2 linked regions of the Anolis sagrei genome follow. The protein of the gene in region 2 interacts with the protein of the main gene of each other region in a biochemical or structural test. Links are inferred from orthologs where the notes say so. Each region holds a gene or a part of one and is shown on either strand. Other genes may lie near its edges.

Region 1 (7,826 bases), on a different chromosome or scaffold from region 2:
ACATCGGGAGACAAAAGAGGGTTGTAAAACTCGGAGCCATTCAAAGCCGGCCTCTGTAAACAAACAAACAAATAAACACCAAATATTCTTTCATGGCCAGGTTTTCCAACAAACTGGATCTCATGCTGAAGTTATTACATCCCAGTTCTTTTTTCTCTGGTCCTCAGATTGAGATGGAGGAATCTCAGAGCAAGATTACCGCCTTGAAAAGTGTGTGCAATTATACTACATTTTCATCATTCTTTCTTTCTGATGTTCACTTTGCATGGCAAACTCTGCCTGAGTGTGGTTACCAAGCCCATTTTAAACTGAATTTTAAATGTATTAGTTGGCATGATGATTTTAATATCTTTTAATCCTTGCTCTGTGTCTTTTAATATAATAAGTTTTAATGATCTTATGTTTTATCTAGGTATTTCAACTGCGTTATACTCTGCCTTGAGCCATGAGCATAAGTGGGTAGCAGTTGTTGTTGGATTTACAAAGTCTTCAGCCTCCTCTTATGCCTCCCCAAATGACAACTCTGAGGATTACATATTATTATTATTATTATTATTATTATTATTATCATCATCATCATCATCATCATTATTTTAAACACAACAAGATTAGTACACAGCAGACAAGATCACTATGCTGATTGTTGTATTGGATCACACGTTGGACACTTCCCAAGTGTCTAGGACTATGCGGATTATCTGCTTTGATAAACTTGAATAATGTATTGTTGTTATTATTATTATTGGGTTTACAAGGTCTTCAGCCTTCTCTTGTGTCTCCCCAAACTACAACAAGGATTCCATTTCATTATTATTGCAATGTACCAAAACCAAGATTGCAAAAACATCTGTTATAGAACTCCAGTATGCTGATGATAACGTAGTCTGTGCACATTCAGAATAAGTCCTACAAGCCATTCTAAACACCTTTGCAGAAGCATACGAGTAGCTCGGCCTCTCATTGAACATCAAGAAAACAAAAGTGCTCTTTCAGCAGGCACCAGCCAATCCCTCTGCAATGCCAGAAATACAGCTTAATGGTGTAACATTAGAAAATGTTGACCATTTCCACTACCTTGGCAGCCACCTCACCACAAAAGTCAACATTGACACTGAAATACAACATCACCTGAGCTCTGCGAGTGCAGCATTTTTCCAAATGAAGCAGAGAGTGTTTGAGGATCGGGACATCTGTAGGGATACCAAGGTGCTTGTTTATAAGCCATTGTCCTCCCAACCCTGCTATATGCCTGCGAAACCTGGATTGTCTACAGACATCATACTTCCATCAGTGTTGCCTCTGAAAAATCCTGCAAATCTCTTGGGAAGACAGGCGGACAAGTGTCAGCCTATGCCATCAACTCTGCTGGACTGGCCACGTTGTCCGAATGACCGATCACCATCTCCCAAAGTAGTTACTATACACACAACTCAAGAATGGAAAATGTAATGTTGGAAGACAGGAAAAGAGATTTAAAGATTCAAAGTGCTGGCATTGGCCTTTAAAGCCCTAAACGGTTCTGGCCCAACATATCTATCCGAACGTATCTCGGCCTATCAGCCCACCAGGACCCTAAGATCTTCGGGAGAGGCCCTACTCTCCATCCCACCTGCTTCACAGGTGCGGCTGGCGGGAACGAGAGACAGGGCCTTTTCTGTGGTGGCCCCGCGGCTTTGGAATGCCCTCCCTATAGAGATAAGATCAGCCTCCTCGCTGATGGTATTTCGAAAAAAACTGAAGACATGGATGTTTGAACAAGCATTCGGCTAATCCGGTGCGATGAAGTTCATGATCAAGGACTGGCAATTCACAGACAACGAAATTGGATTATGATTTTAGTTAAGAGATGCGTTGGTCTGTATTGGTGGCCCAATACTGTGTACTGTATATGTGTTTTATGCTTTTAATCTGAATATTGTTGTTTTTAAGTGTTGTAAACCGCAATGAGTCGCCGATTTAGGCTGAGATATTAGCGGTATACAAGTGCATTAATAAATAAATAAATAAATAAATAAATAAATAAATAAATAAGATGGTCTTAAAGCCAACCTTAAAAACTGTGGCATAAACACCGAGAACTGTGAAGCCCTGGCCTTTGAGTGCTCTAACTGGAGGTCAGCTGTGACCAGCAGTGCTGAGGAATTAGAAGCATGAATGAAGTGAGAAGGGGAGAAACATGCCAAAAGGAAGGCAGGTCAAACCAACTGCGACCAGGACTGCCTTCCACCTGGAAACTGATGTCCTCACTGCGGAAGAACGTGCAGGTCAAGAATAGGTCTCCGCAGCTACCTACAGACCCACAACGAAAACACTACACTTGGAGGACCATCATCCTCCAGCTACAAGGGATCGCCTAAGTAAGTAAGTATTAATAATATTAGTAATAATACTAATAATAATACTTACTTACTTAGACGATCCCTCGTAGCTGGAGGATGATGGTCCTCCAAGTGTAGTGTTTTCGTTGTGGGTCTGTAGGTAGCTACTATAAGTAGTATTAGTATTATTGGATTTGCAAGGCTTCCAGCCATCTCTTGGGTCTCCCCAAACTACAACCCTAAGGATTCCATTGCATTATTATTAATTATTATTATTGTATTTATTTGCTATATATATCCGGCTTTCTCTCTCTAAAAAGAGACCCAAAGTAGCTAACAACACTAAAAATAATAATGTTTTCATGATAGCACCAACTAGAAAATTATATTTATAACACAATAATGTTACGTTGTGTTATTAGCCATAGCATCCTGGCTGGGTCTGCCAAGCCTGGAGCCATCGCAGTCCAGGTGGTACCAAACTGCATTAACTCTCCAGTGCAGTTGCAAAACCTCTCACCTGGGGCTTGGTGTCTGGGTCGATGGGATAGTGACAGGTCTGACAGATCTCCAGGTCCCCTTCCTCCCAGCCCTCATCACAGTCCAAACTGCAGCAGCAGCCCATGCTTCTGGTGCACGACAGGAACGCAAGGGACACTGAGGCCCAGCTCCCTGCGCAAGCTTTTGTCTTCTGCAAAAAAGAAAGAGACGATATTGGAAAATCAAGAGGACTTTCAAGAGGTTCCCCAAAAGGCCTGATCAGAGCCAAGGAACAGAGACCACTTGGGTGTGATCCTGGATTCATCGCTGAGCCTGGAACCTCAGGTCTCAGCGGTGACCAGGGGAGTATTTGCACAGTTAAAACTTGTGCGCCAGCTGTGCCCATACCTTGGGAAGTCTGACTTGGCCACAGTAGTCCACGCTCTGGTTATATCCCGTATAGACTACTGCAACGTGCTCTACGTGGGGTTGCCTTTGAAGACGGTCCAGAAGCTTCAACTAGTCCAACGAACGGCAGCCAGGTTGCTAACAGGAGCGGCCCTCTTGTTGCGCCAGCTCCACTGGCTGCCGGTTTGCTACTGGGCCCAATTCAAAGTGCTGGCTTTGGCCTTTAAAGCCCTAAATGGTTCTGGTCCAATTTACCTGTCCAAAAGCATCTCCCCTTATGAACCTTCAAGGACCCTGAGGTCATCTGGGGAGGCCTTGCTCTCAGTCCTGCCTTCGACACAAGCACATCTGGCGGGGATAAGAGACAGGGCCTTCTCAGTGGTGGCCCCTCAGCTATGAAACACCCTCCCTAGGGAGATCAGATCGGCTCTCTCCCTACTAATGTTTCGGAGGCAAGTTAAAACATGGCTATTCAAGCAAGCGTTTACAAATACAGAGTAAATGACATAGAAAATTGAATGACTTGATGACGGAATTGGACAATGCTTGATAATAAGGAGACGCTAATGATGTTGTTATTATTGTTGTTTTATACTGTTTTAATGTTTTAACTTGTTTTGTGATATTATATGTACTGTTTTGTTGGAAACCACCTTGAGTCGCCGATTGCCTGAGAAAGGCGGTATACAAATACAGTAAACAAACAAACAAACAAATAAATATCAAACAGGTCATCCACATTATCCGCTTTGAATTGGATTATACAAGTCTACACTGCAATACAATCCAGTTCAAAGCAGATCAGATTTACATGGCAGTGCAGATGGGGCCCCAGTTCAAAGCAGATAATCTGGATTTTATATGGCAGTTCAGATGGGGCATCATATAATCCAGTTCAAAACAGATCATGACCCCTTTTACACTGCCATATAAAATCAAGATTGTCTGCTTTGAACTGGATTATATGGCAGTGTAGACTCATATAATCCACTTCAAAGCAAATAATGTGGATTATCTGCTTTGATAAACTGGGTTATATGGAAGTCTAGAAGGAGCCAATGTTGATTTTATATGGTAGTGTAGGAAGGGTCTCATATAATCTAGTTCAAAGCAGATGTGGTTTATCTGCATTTATAAAGTGGATTATATGGCAGTGTAAAAGGAGCCTTAGAAACAATTTGCAAACTTGCATCACATTGCAGAAGCAGTGAAATCAATCACATTTTGTCCTCCAAATCTGAGGGCTAAAGTGATGTCAATGCAGTGACCAAGAGGAAACCCACAATCTCAGCCACAAACTCATAAACCTTGACATTCTAAATATACTCGCTTGGCGACCTGGCAATGACCGGGTTATTTGAAAAGGGCATTTGACGGCTGGGTTTTTTCTTGGCTGGCTTCAGTGCTCTCTGGAGAAGGGTGAACTACAACTCCTATGTGCCAAGGTCAATCATCCCGAAACCCTGCCAGTATTCACAATTGGCCATGTTGGGTCTGTGTGCCAAGTTTGGTCAAGATCCGTCATTGGCTGGGTTCAGGGCTCTCTGGATAAAGGTGAACTACAACTCCCATATGCAGAGGACAATCACCCTCAAACCAGGCCTGTATACACAGAGGGCCATGTTGGGTCTGTGTGCCAAGTTTGGTCCAGATCTGACATCGGCTAGGTTCAGTGCTCTCTGGATAAGGATGAACTACAACTCTCAGATCCAAGGTCAATCACTCCCAAAATAAGGGAAACCAGGACTGTGTTTGGAACAAAGTGGGAAAATGGGGTGAAATTAGGACTTTTTTTCAGCGATAAGATGAGTATTCCAATTGGTATTTGCCAAATTGTGACCATTGCAATGTATAGCATTACACACTGATATGATACAGCCTGCATTATTATATACCAAGGACTCACTTCTTAATATTTTGTAATCTGTTTAATGAATATTTAGAGGCACTGAACCCCTTATTTGGAATTCTGAACTCATCCAAAATTCAAAATTGTCCAAATGACATTATTATAATCCTTAATCATTAATTTATATTTATATTTTTACATTTATTATATGTATTATTATTAAATGTGTTCTTATTATTATGCAAAAACTTTGCTTTCTGATGGTTCAGAGGACACTGACTTGACTCCATGCACAAAATCATTAAAAATACGGCGTATAAAATAACCTATAGACTATAATAGCATATAAAATGTATATGAAACACAAAAGAATGACATGTTTAGTCTTATGTCCCATCTCCAAGATAATCACAATTCATATATATACATATCTATATTTATATGGATATGCAAATGTAGAGATCCCTAAACCTGAGGGGGAAATATCCCAAATACTTTTGCTCCCAACCATTTCAGAGACTCAACATTTATACAGTAATTAGAATATTGCAGCAAATTAATTGAAATAGTAGGGCACACGGCTTTGTCACTTTCTCTGATTATGAAAAATAATTAAAATTAACATTATAACATTAATGTTAAGACCAAGCCAGGGGGAGTTGTGTCATGTGTTACGTATTTTAATAGGTTTTTCGTGAATTTAGTTCATTCTTTTTAGTAGTCCTGGGTTTAGTTTTAGTGTTTATATGCTTTAGATTTGTAATTGAACAATACATTGTTTTCATTTCAGTATTTATTGGGTTGCTGTGAGTTTTCTGAGGTGTATGACCATGTTCTAGAAGCATTCTCTCCTAACGTTTCGCCTGCATCTATGGCAGGCATCCTCAGAGGTTGTGATGTCTGTTGGAAACTAGGCAAGTGGGATTTATATATCTGTGGAACGTCCAGGGTGGGAGAAAGAACTCTTGTCTGATTGAGGCAAGTGTGAATGCTGCAATTGATCACCTTGATTAGCATTGAATGGCCTTGCAGCTTCAAAGCCAGACTGCTTCCTACCTGGGGGAATCTGTTCGGAGGTGTTAGCTGGCCCTGTCAGGAATTCCCATTTATGAGTGTTGTTCTTTATTCACTGTCCTGATTTTAGATTTTTTTTTAAACACTGGTAGCCATATTTTGTTCAATCTATTGTCGAAGGCTTTCATGGCTGGAATCATTGGGTTGTTGTTGGTTTTTTCGAGCTATATGGCCATGTTCTAGAGGCATTTTCTCCTGACGTTTCGCCTGCATCTATGGCAAGCATCCTCAGAGGTAGTGAGTTCTGCTGGAACTAGGAAAAAGGGGTTTTTATATCTGTGGAATGACCAGGGTGGGACAAAGGACTCTTGTCTGTTGGAGCTAGGTGTGAAAGTTTCAACTGACTACCATGATTAGCATTTGATTGCCTGGCAGTTCCTGGGGCAATCTTTTGTTGAGAGGTGATTAGATGTCCTTGTTTGTTTCCACTCTGTTGTTGTGCTCTACATAGGGACCACCAAACGCAGCGCTCAAACACGAATCAAGGAACATGAAAGGCACTGCAGACTACTTCAACCAGAGAAGTCAGACATAGCAGAGCACCTGATGAACCAACCTGGACATAGCATATTATTTGAGAACACAGAAATATTGGACCACTCCAACAACCACCATGTCAGACTACACAGAGACGCCATTGAAATCCACAAGCATGTGGACAATTTCAACATAAAGGAGGAAACATGAAAATGAACACAATCTGGCTACCAGTATTAAAAAACTCTAAAATTATAACAGCAAAATAACAGAGAGGAAACAAACAAGGACATCTCAACAAAAGATTGCTCCAGGCACTGCCAGGCAATCAAATGCTAATCATGGTAGTCAGTTGAAACATTCACACCTAGCTCCAACAGACAAGAGTCCTTTGTCGAACCCTGGTCATTCCACAGATATAAAAAAACCCTTTTCCTAGTTCCAACAGACCTCACTACCTCTGAGGATGCTTGCCATAGATGCAGGCGAAACGTCAGGAGAAAATGCCTCTAGAACATGGCCATATAGCCCGGAAAAACCTACAACAACCCATATTTTGTTCATTTTAATAGTTTCCTCCCTTCTGTAGAAATTGTCCGCATGCTTGCGGATTTCAAGCTTTTGTATGTTGTGTTTCCAGTCTTTGTGACACTCAGAAATACTTCCCTCTCTCCTTTTCATATTGTTTTTCAACGTTTATCCCATCTGAGTGTTGGAAAGACTCTGGAAACACAACATAACAAAAGCTTGCAACCTAGTAACAGACACATTGCATGCACTACCTCTGAGGGGGCTTGCCATGCACTACCTCTGAGGAGGCAGGCAAAACGTCAGGAGAGAATGCCTCTAGACCATGGCCATAAAGCCCGAAAAAACCTACAACAACGCAGTGATTCCGGCCATGAAAGCCTTCGACAATACATTGAACATTGCATGCTGTTTGCTGCCTTTGCAAATGGCTACAGAAATAATACAAACACAGCGGAAGCAAATGGGTTTCGAAGTAGTTTTTAACAATGGCATTGGGTTCTGCATCGCTCGAACCAAACTTTGTGGAATTCTGTTGTTTTGACCTTTGCTGTGCCCATTGTGGGAAAACATCCCATTTCCTGTTCAGGGTTTGTCCCAAAACAGTGAATAAATATAATGTAATTCAGTACAAGCGGGGAATGATAAAGGCGTCTTATCAAATCAGTGGAAAGAGGAAGAAATGATATTGT
Region 2 (6,864 bases):
GGATTACTCTTGTTTATTTATTTATTTATTTACTATATTTATATACCATCCCTCTCAGCCCACAGGCAACTCGGGGAGGTTTACAGTTGGTACCAAGACCATAAAATACAATTTCAATCCAATAAAAACAATTGGATAATAAAACCATAATAAAATTAATAAAAACACAAACATTAGGGTCGCCCGTTAAAAACATTGTCCAATCACATTGTCCAACCATTCCATTTCCCTATGTCTATTACACTGTATTTGCAAATGCCTGCTCAAAACGCCAAGTCTTGACTTTCTTCTGAAATGTTAAAAGGAAGGGGGCCGATCAGATATCCTTAGGGAGGGTGCTCCATAGCTGAGGGGCCACCACTGAGAAGGCCCTGTCTTTCGTCCCCACCAGCCATACTTGTGATGAAGTTGGGGCTGAGAGCAGGGCCTCCCCAGATGATCTTAAAGTCCTGGAAGGTTCATAAGGAGAAACACGTGGTTCCCCACAACTGCTTCAAACTTCATTATAGACACTGCTAGCAAAATCGTTATTTTAATTTTCCTTACAGTTTCTGATTCCCTTCCCAAAGATATTCTTCTGCTATGAATTAGGTTCCTAGGCAAAATAAAAATCCAGCTTGGGAGAAACGTACCTGCAGGATGGCATCAGGATCCCAGACACTGGGGACCCCACTAAGGAAAGCTGAAAAGGTGGGATTCCACAGCATGCAGTCCTGGGGAGAAAAAAAACCAAATCAGGAGGATGATCAAAAACTGAAGAAAAAAACATGCAGTACCTGCATACACCAAACACACACACAGTAGAGTCTTGCTTATCCACCCTTCACTTATCCAACATTGTGTATTATCCAACGCAGTCTGCTTCCAGCCCGAATCCACAGCTGTTTCAATACATTGTAATGTTATGGTGCTAAATTCATAAATACAGTAATTACTACATAACGTTACTGTGTATTGAATTGCTTTTTCTATTGCTTTGTTGTAAAACATGATGTTTTGGTGCTTAATTTGTAAAATCATAATGTAATTTGACTTTTAATAGGCTTTTCCTTAATCCCTCCTTATTATCCAATATCCAACATTCTCCCAGCCCGTTTACGTTGGGTGTGTGTGTGTGTGCGTGCGTGCGTGTGTGTGTGTATATATATATATATAATATGTCATTATCTTTAAGGCCCCTTCTGCATTGCCTTACAAAATCCAGATTATCTGCTTTGAACTGGATTATATGACAATATAGACCAGGCACTGGCAAACTTTGGCCCTCTGGGTGTTTTGGACTTCGACTCCCACAATTCCTAACAGCCTACTGGCTGTTAGGAATTGTGGGAGTCAAAGTCCAAAACACCCAGAGGGCCAGAGTTTGCCTGTGCCTGCTGTAGACCCATATAATCTAGTTCAATTTTGATTATCTAAATTATATGGTAGTGTAGAAGGGGCCATAACTATATATACAATTGTCATTTTGCTTTCTGTGTTTCTGGGATTATTCTATTATCTAGAACAACAAATGGAAATAAGTAAATAAGTATTGCACATATGCCCCAAGAATATAACAACATATTGAATTGTGTATATGTTTGTGTGTAGATTTGAGAGACTGCAAGTCACTTCTGGTGTGGGAGAATTGGCCGTCTGCAAGGATGTTGGCCAGGGGATGCCCAGATGTTTTGATGTTTTACCATCCTAGTGGGAGCCTTCACTCATGTCCCCATATAGAGAGCTGGAGCTGACAGAGGGAGCTCATCCATGTTCTCCCCATATTCGAACCTCCAACCTGTCGATCTTCAGTCCTGCCGGCACAAGGGTTTAACCCGTTGCACCACCGGGGGCGCCTATCGATCTGTTCTTGATCATATTAACAATTACCATAATGACCATAACGCTGTCTTTGTATTTCCTTTCGAAACAATTTATGTTTCAATACATTATAATATTTCCCACCATTACAAAACCTCTAGACGTTGCTGTATCTTTCCACATCCAAAGACTATTACATCCCCTTCCATACAGCTGAATAAAATCTCCCACTTTCTGCTTTGAACTGGAATATAATGCACTGTGGACTCAGATAATCCAGTTCAAAGCAGATATTGTGGGATTTTCTGCCTTGATATATATCTTCCCGCAGGAGTGGTACCTATTTATCTACTCACATTTGCATGTGTTTGAACTGCTAGGTTGTCAGAAGCTGGGGCTAACAGCAGGAGCTCAGCCCACTCCCTGGATCTGAACTGCCGACCTCTCAGTCAGCAAGTTCAGCAGCTCAGCAGTTTAATCCACTGCACCACGGGGGGCTCCAATCAATAGGGTTTCGTCCAATAGGATTATAATCCCATGTCAGATTTTCAATTAATGATTTGTTGATTTCCTATCCAAGATTTCATTCAGAACATCAACTTAGGTACTAACAAATGTGCCGGTAACTTTGAATTTCTTTTTTACAGTTTCTTTGTTGCCTAAAGTATCTTTGGTGTAAATATATACCTCCTGTGAGGGATCTCATCCTATTGGGGGAGCGATCTTGTAAAAGTTGACTCAAGGGTTAAGTCCATTGGCCCCAATGACACTTATTTCCAGGAATGTGGAAATACAAACCGAGCCTGAGGATATCTTTCTTTGTCAAGTGCTGCATTGCTCCCAGATATACAAAATTTAAAAGTTGGCAACTATGTTTTTACACTGACAATAGTTGCTGGAGAAAAACAGGAATATAATATTAATTATTGTGTTAGTTATTAATATCAATAAAAGCAAGAGGCCTAATGCAATAAAACATTGCATCGGGTGCATGCCTGTTGCATTCAAACTGGAAAGGCTCATAGCTAAAAATTTACCTGTTCAGGCGTGAAGGTTCTTCCTTAGTGACCCAGGGAGAAGGAGATGGAAATCCGGCTCAAACGTTTAGTTTTTGTAAACAAGGCCCCATTATTTTCCCTGGCAAATGTCTCCCTGAGCACTAGTTAGTTAATGAACACACAGGAATGGTATCAGGAAGGGAAAAGCGCAACCTGAGGGAGAAACAGGTAACCAGGGGAGGGACAACCTGTTCTCCCCGCCCCGTTCACCTTCGGCAGGGCTCTCTCTAGGTGGATCTGTGCTCAGTTTGGAACTGAAATGCACCCATCAGAACAAAACACACAATTGCTGTGCATTTAACTGGCCCTGCGGACCCTCTGCAGCACCCAGTTTAGCAGCCCAATGGTGACTAAAGCTGCCACTTCTTCAGAGACACAGATCCTTGACTGCCATCATAAGGACCCAGCTTACTTACTTACTTAGGCGATCCCTCGTTGTCAGAGTAGGATAATCCTCCAGGGTGGGTCCGTAGATCAGTGTACTGATGGGTCCGGAGGTGGCTATAGAGCCCTATTCTTGATCTGCATCTTCTCCCGCAGTGAAGGCATTGGTTTCCAGGTGGAAAGCGATCTCGGTTGGGGTTGGCTTGATGCGCCATCCTCTTGGTACGTTTCTCTTTCGTGCCTCTTCAAATTCTACAGCACTGTTGGTCACAGCTGACCTCCAGCTGGAGACCCTGCACTTCACATGTGAACAATTTTAAGGCCTAAACCAGGCATGGGCAAATGTCAGCCCTCCAGGTGTTTTGGACTTCAACTCCCACAATTCCTAACAGCCTATGCCTGTCCTAAACTCTTCATGCTCTGTATAAATATGGCATTGATTATTGATCCAAATTAATATTTTCTCTAAAAAGGTAAATACACCCATGAGATTCCAGTTCTATTGTAAGAGAGCTATACTTTTGTTGCTTGCATGAGTCAATGATATTATTTATACACTCACCACTTTGAATCTTTATCATTCCTAAACACACTTTAGGAATGATAAAGAGGAAACGGCCCCGGCCCAGTTTACCTGTCCCTTTACGAACCACCTCGGAAACCAAGATCATCAGGGGAGGCCCTGCTCTCGGTCCCACTACCATCACATGTGCGTTTGATGGGAACGAGAGACAGGGCCTTCTCAGTGATTGCCCTCCAGTTATGGAACTCCCTTCCTGGCAATATTAGATCAGCCCCTTCCCTCCTGTCCTTCAGAAGGATGGTGAAGACCTGGCTGTGGGACCAAGCCTTTAGGGCCGTGCAATGAGGCAAAATGGTGTCCTGAGATGGTTTTTAAGCAACTTTCAATGTGGATATAAGTGATTTTAATGTTTGTATATATTTATGGTTATATGTCCCGGCATTGAATGTTTGCCGTAAATATGTAGTGCTCCGCCCTGTGTCCCCTGCAGGGTGAGAAGGGGGGGGGGGATATAAATGTTTTAAATAAAAATAAAATAAATTCTGTCCTGACATTTCTGCCACATCTATGGCAGGCATCCTCAGAGGGTGAGAGGTCTGTTGGAAACAAAGCAAGTGAGGTTTATATATCTGTGGAATGTCCAGGGTGGGAGAAAAAAAGTCTTATTGCTATTGGCCACCTTGATTGGCATTGAATGGCAGTGCAGCTTCAAAGACTGGCTGCTTCCTGCTTGGGGGAATCCTTTGTTTGTAGATGTTAGCTGGCTTTGATTGTTTCATGTGTTTTGTGTGTTGCTCTTTATTTACAGTCTTGATTTTAGTTTTTTTAAATACTGGTAGCCAGATTTTGTTCATTTTTATGGTTTCCTCCTTGATGTTGAAGTTGTCCACAGCCTCTGAGGATGCCTGCCATAGATGTAGGCGAAACGGCAGGAGAGAATGCTTCTTGAATATGTCCATACATGTTCTCCTCAGAACATGTTGCTGACATGTACTCCTCAGAAGCATCTCTTCAACCAGTGCACTGGACTGGACAGGACTTTGGTCTGACCCAAAGCGGGCCTCTTTTTTTTACATCTACTCAAAAGGTTCCCATGGCTGCAGTCTGAAGGGTGGTTATAGCCCCAGTAGAAACCACTCAGTCCCCACACCATTTTCTCAATGTAAGTCTCTCCACCAATTATAACTTGGTAACAGAGGAGCCCATGGTGGCGCAGTGGGTTAAAGCACTGAGCTGCTGAATTTGCTAACCGAAAGGTCGCAGTTTCGAATCCAGGGAGCGGTGTGAGCTCCCATTGTTAGCCCCTGCTTCTGCCAACCTAGCAGTTTGAAAACATGCAAATGTAAGTAGATCAATAGGTACCGCTTCTGCAGGAAGGTAACAGTGCTCCATCCAGTCATGCGGACCACATGACTTTGGAGGTTCTATGGACAATGCCAGCTCTTCGGCTTAGAAATTGAGATTAACACCAATCCCCCAGAGTCGGACACGACTGGACTTAATGTCAGGAGAAAACCTTTGTTTATACAAACTGGGAAGATTCAAAATGAAGTATAAGGAGCAGAATTGGGTCCCCCCCCCCCTCCCATGAATGGAAACTATATTAAGGCCCCTTCTGCATGGCCATATAAAATCCAGATTATCTCCCTTAAACTGGATTATATGGCAGTGTAGACTCATATAATCGAGTTCATGTCAATTATCTGCATTGATAATCTGGATTATATGGTGGTATATGTATAAATGTATAAATATATTTGGAGGTATATGTATAAATCTGTAAATGCTGAATTCCTACGTCGCCAGTCGTTTGTAAGCCACTTTGTGTCCCATATTGGAAGAAGGCCAGGTTAATCAACATAGATATTGGTTTAACTATGGGCCATGAGCATTAGACATGATTTAGGAAAAAAATAGTACCTGCTCAGTAATTAATTTATAACAAAGCATGTTGTTTCAGCACGTATCATTAATAGATAAATAACAAGAAAAGGGGCATCCATGTGTTCCTGATTTGCATACTTGCAGACTTTGCATTTTACTGCTTATTAATGACCATAAGACATTTTACTGCCAGTCCTGCTATCTGTCACAAGTAGAGCTCGGCTTCACAGAAACTGGAGACCAAAAGGAGAGACACTATTCCTGGGGAAAGATCCAACCTCCATTACTGGATATCTTAACAGAAGCTGAAAAATATTATTATAGAACATTTGACTGTTCAATCTACAGTGTCAAGAACCTTTATTGCTCTTTCGAATGAAGTCCATCTTTTAGCAATGATGCACCAATTCATTTTTGAGACTCTGCAAAAGCCAACACTTAGCTGTTGGGGAAAAGGCCATTAGGCGGATGTTTATTTTTACCCATAGTCACTGTTGGTCAAACTTTATATGATAACTGAAAATAAGCTTATCCGGGAACAATGTCCATCTAATTGCATACAGATTGTCATCCTAGATAAGTGTTCCTAGAAGTTGAAAAAAAGTTTTCCCTTGATCACTCATTCAAGTATGCGAAGTAGCAATGACACGTTTGTGACCCAGCATTTGCTCTCAGATGCAGCTCAGCTTGTTCTGCAAGGTAAGACTTGCCTCTATTACTGTCATGTCATACTGTGTTTTCACATATTTAGTGGACAGAGATCTATGAGCCTGAGATTCAGGTTTCTAAAGCAATGAAAAGATTGTGATTGAAATACCAAAGCATATCTTCCCCCATGAACCAATGGAGCACCTGTGGTGCAATGGGTTAAACCTTTTTGCCAGCAGGACTGCTGACTGAAAGGTTGGCGATGGGAGCAGGGAGCGGAGCTCCCATGGGAGCGGGGTGAGCTCCCATTTGTCAGCTCCAGCTTCTCATGCAGGGACATGAGAGAAGCCTCCCACAGGATGGTAAAACACCCTGGCGTCTCCTTGGCAATGTCCTTGCAGACAACCAGTTCTCTCAAACAGAAGCAACTTGCAATTTCTCAAGTCACTCCTGACACAGAAAAACAAAACAAAACCATGAACCAATACTAAGACTGCCAATGTGGGTTCGACAACTTTTCTGATTGCCAAGGGCATCTGTCGTCGTCATCATCATCATCATATCTGA

The links.
Region 1: of the proteins of PTPN6 (region 2) and LCK, one has a biochemical effect on the other in vitro, tested with the Homo sapiens proteins (4 studies listed by BioGRID and IntAct, with this or other methods). The link is inferred for Anolis sagrei from reciprocal best matches to the Homo sapiens genes PTPN6 and LCK.

The regions. Positions count from the first base shown.
Region 1 is NC_090034.1:83,357,199-83,365,024, forward strand, and holds the start of LCK (tyrosine-protein kinase Lck), read right to left. Parts: upstream 3,004-7,826; 5' UTR 2,944-3,003; coding exon 2,839-2,943; intron 54-2,838; coding exon 1-53. UniProt on the Homo sapiens protein: Non-receptor tyrosine-protein kinase that plays an essential role in the selection and maturation of developing T-cells in the thymus and in the function of mature T-cells. Plays a key role in T-cell antigen receptor (TCR)-linked signal transduction pathways.
Region 2 is NC_090022.1:198,223,699-198,230,562, reverse strand, and holds the start of PTPN6 (tyrosine-protein phosphatase non-receptor type 6), read right to left. Parts: upstream 3,003-6,864; 5' UTR 2,838-3,002; intron 714-2,837; 5' UTR 647-713; coding exon 633-646; intron 1-632. UniProt on the Homo sapiens protein: Tyrosine phosphatase enzyme that plays important roles in controlling immune signaling pathways and fundamental physiological processes such as hematopoiesis.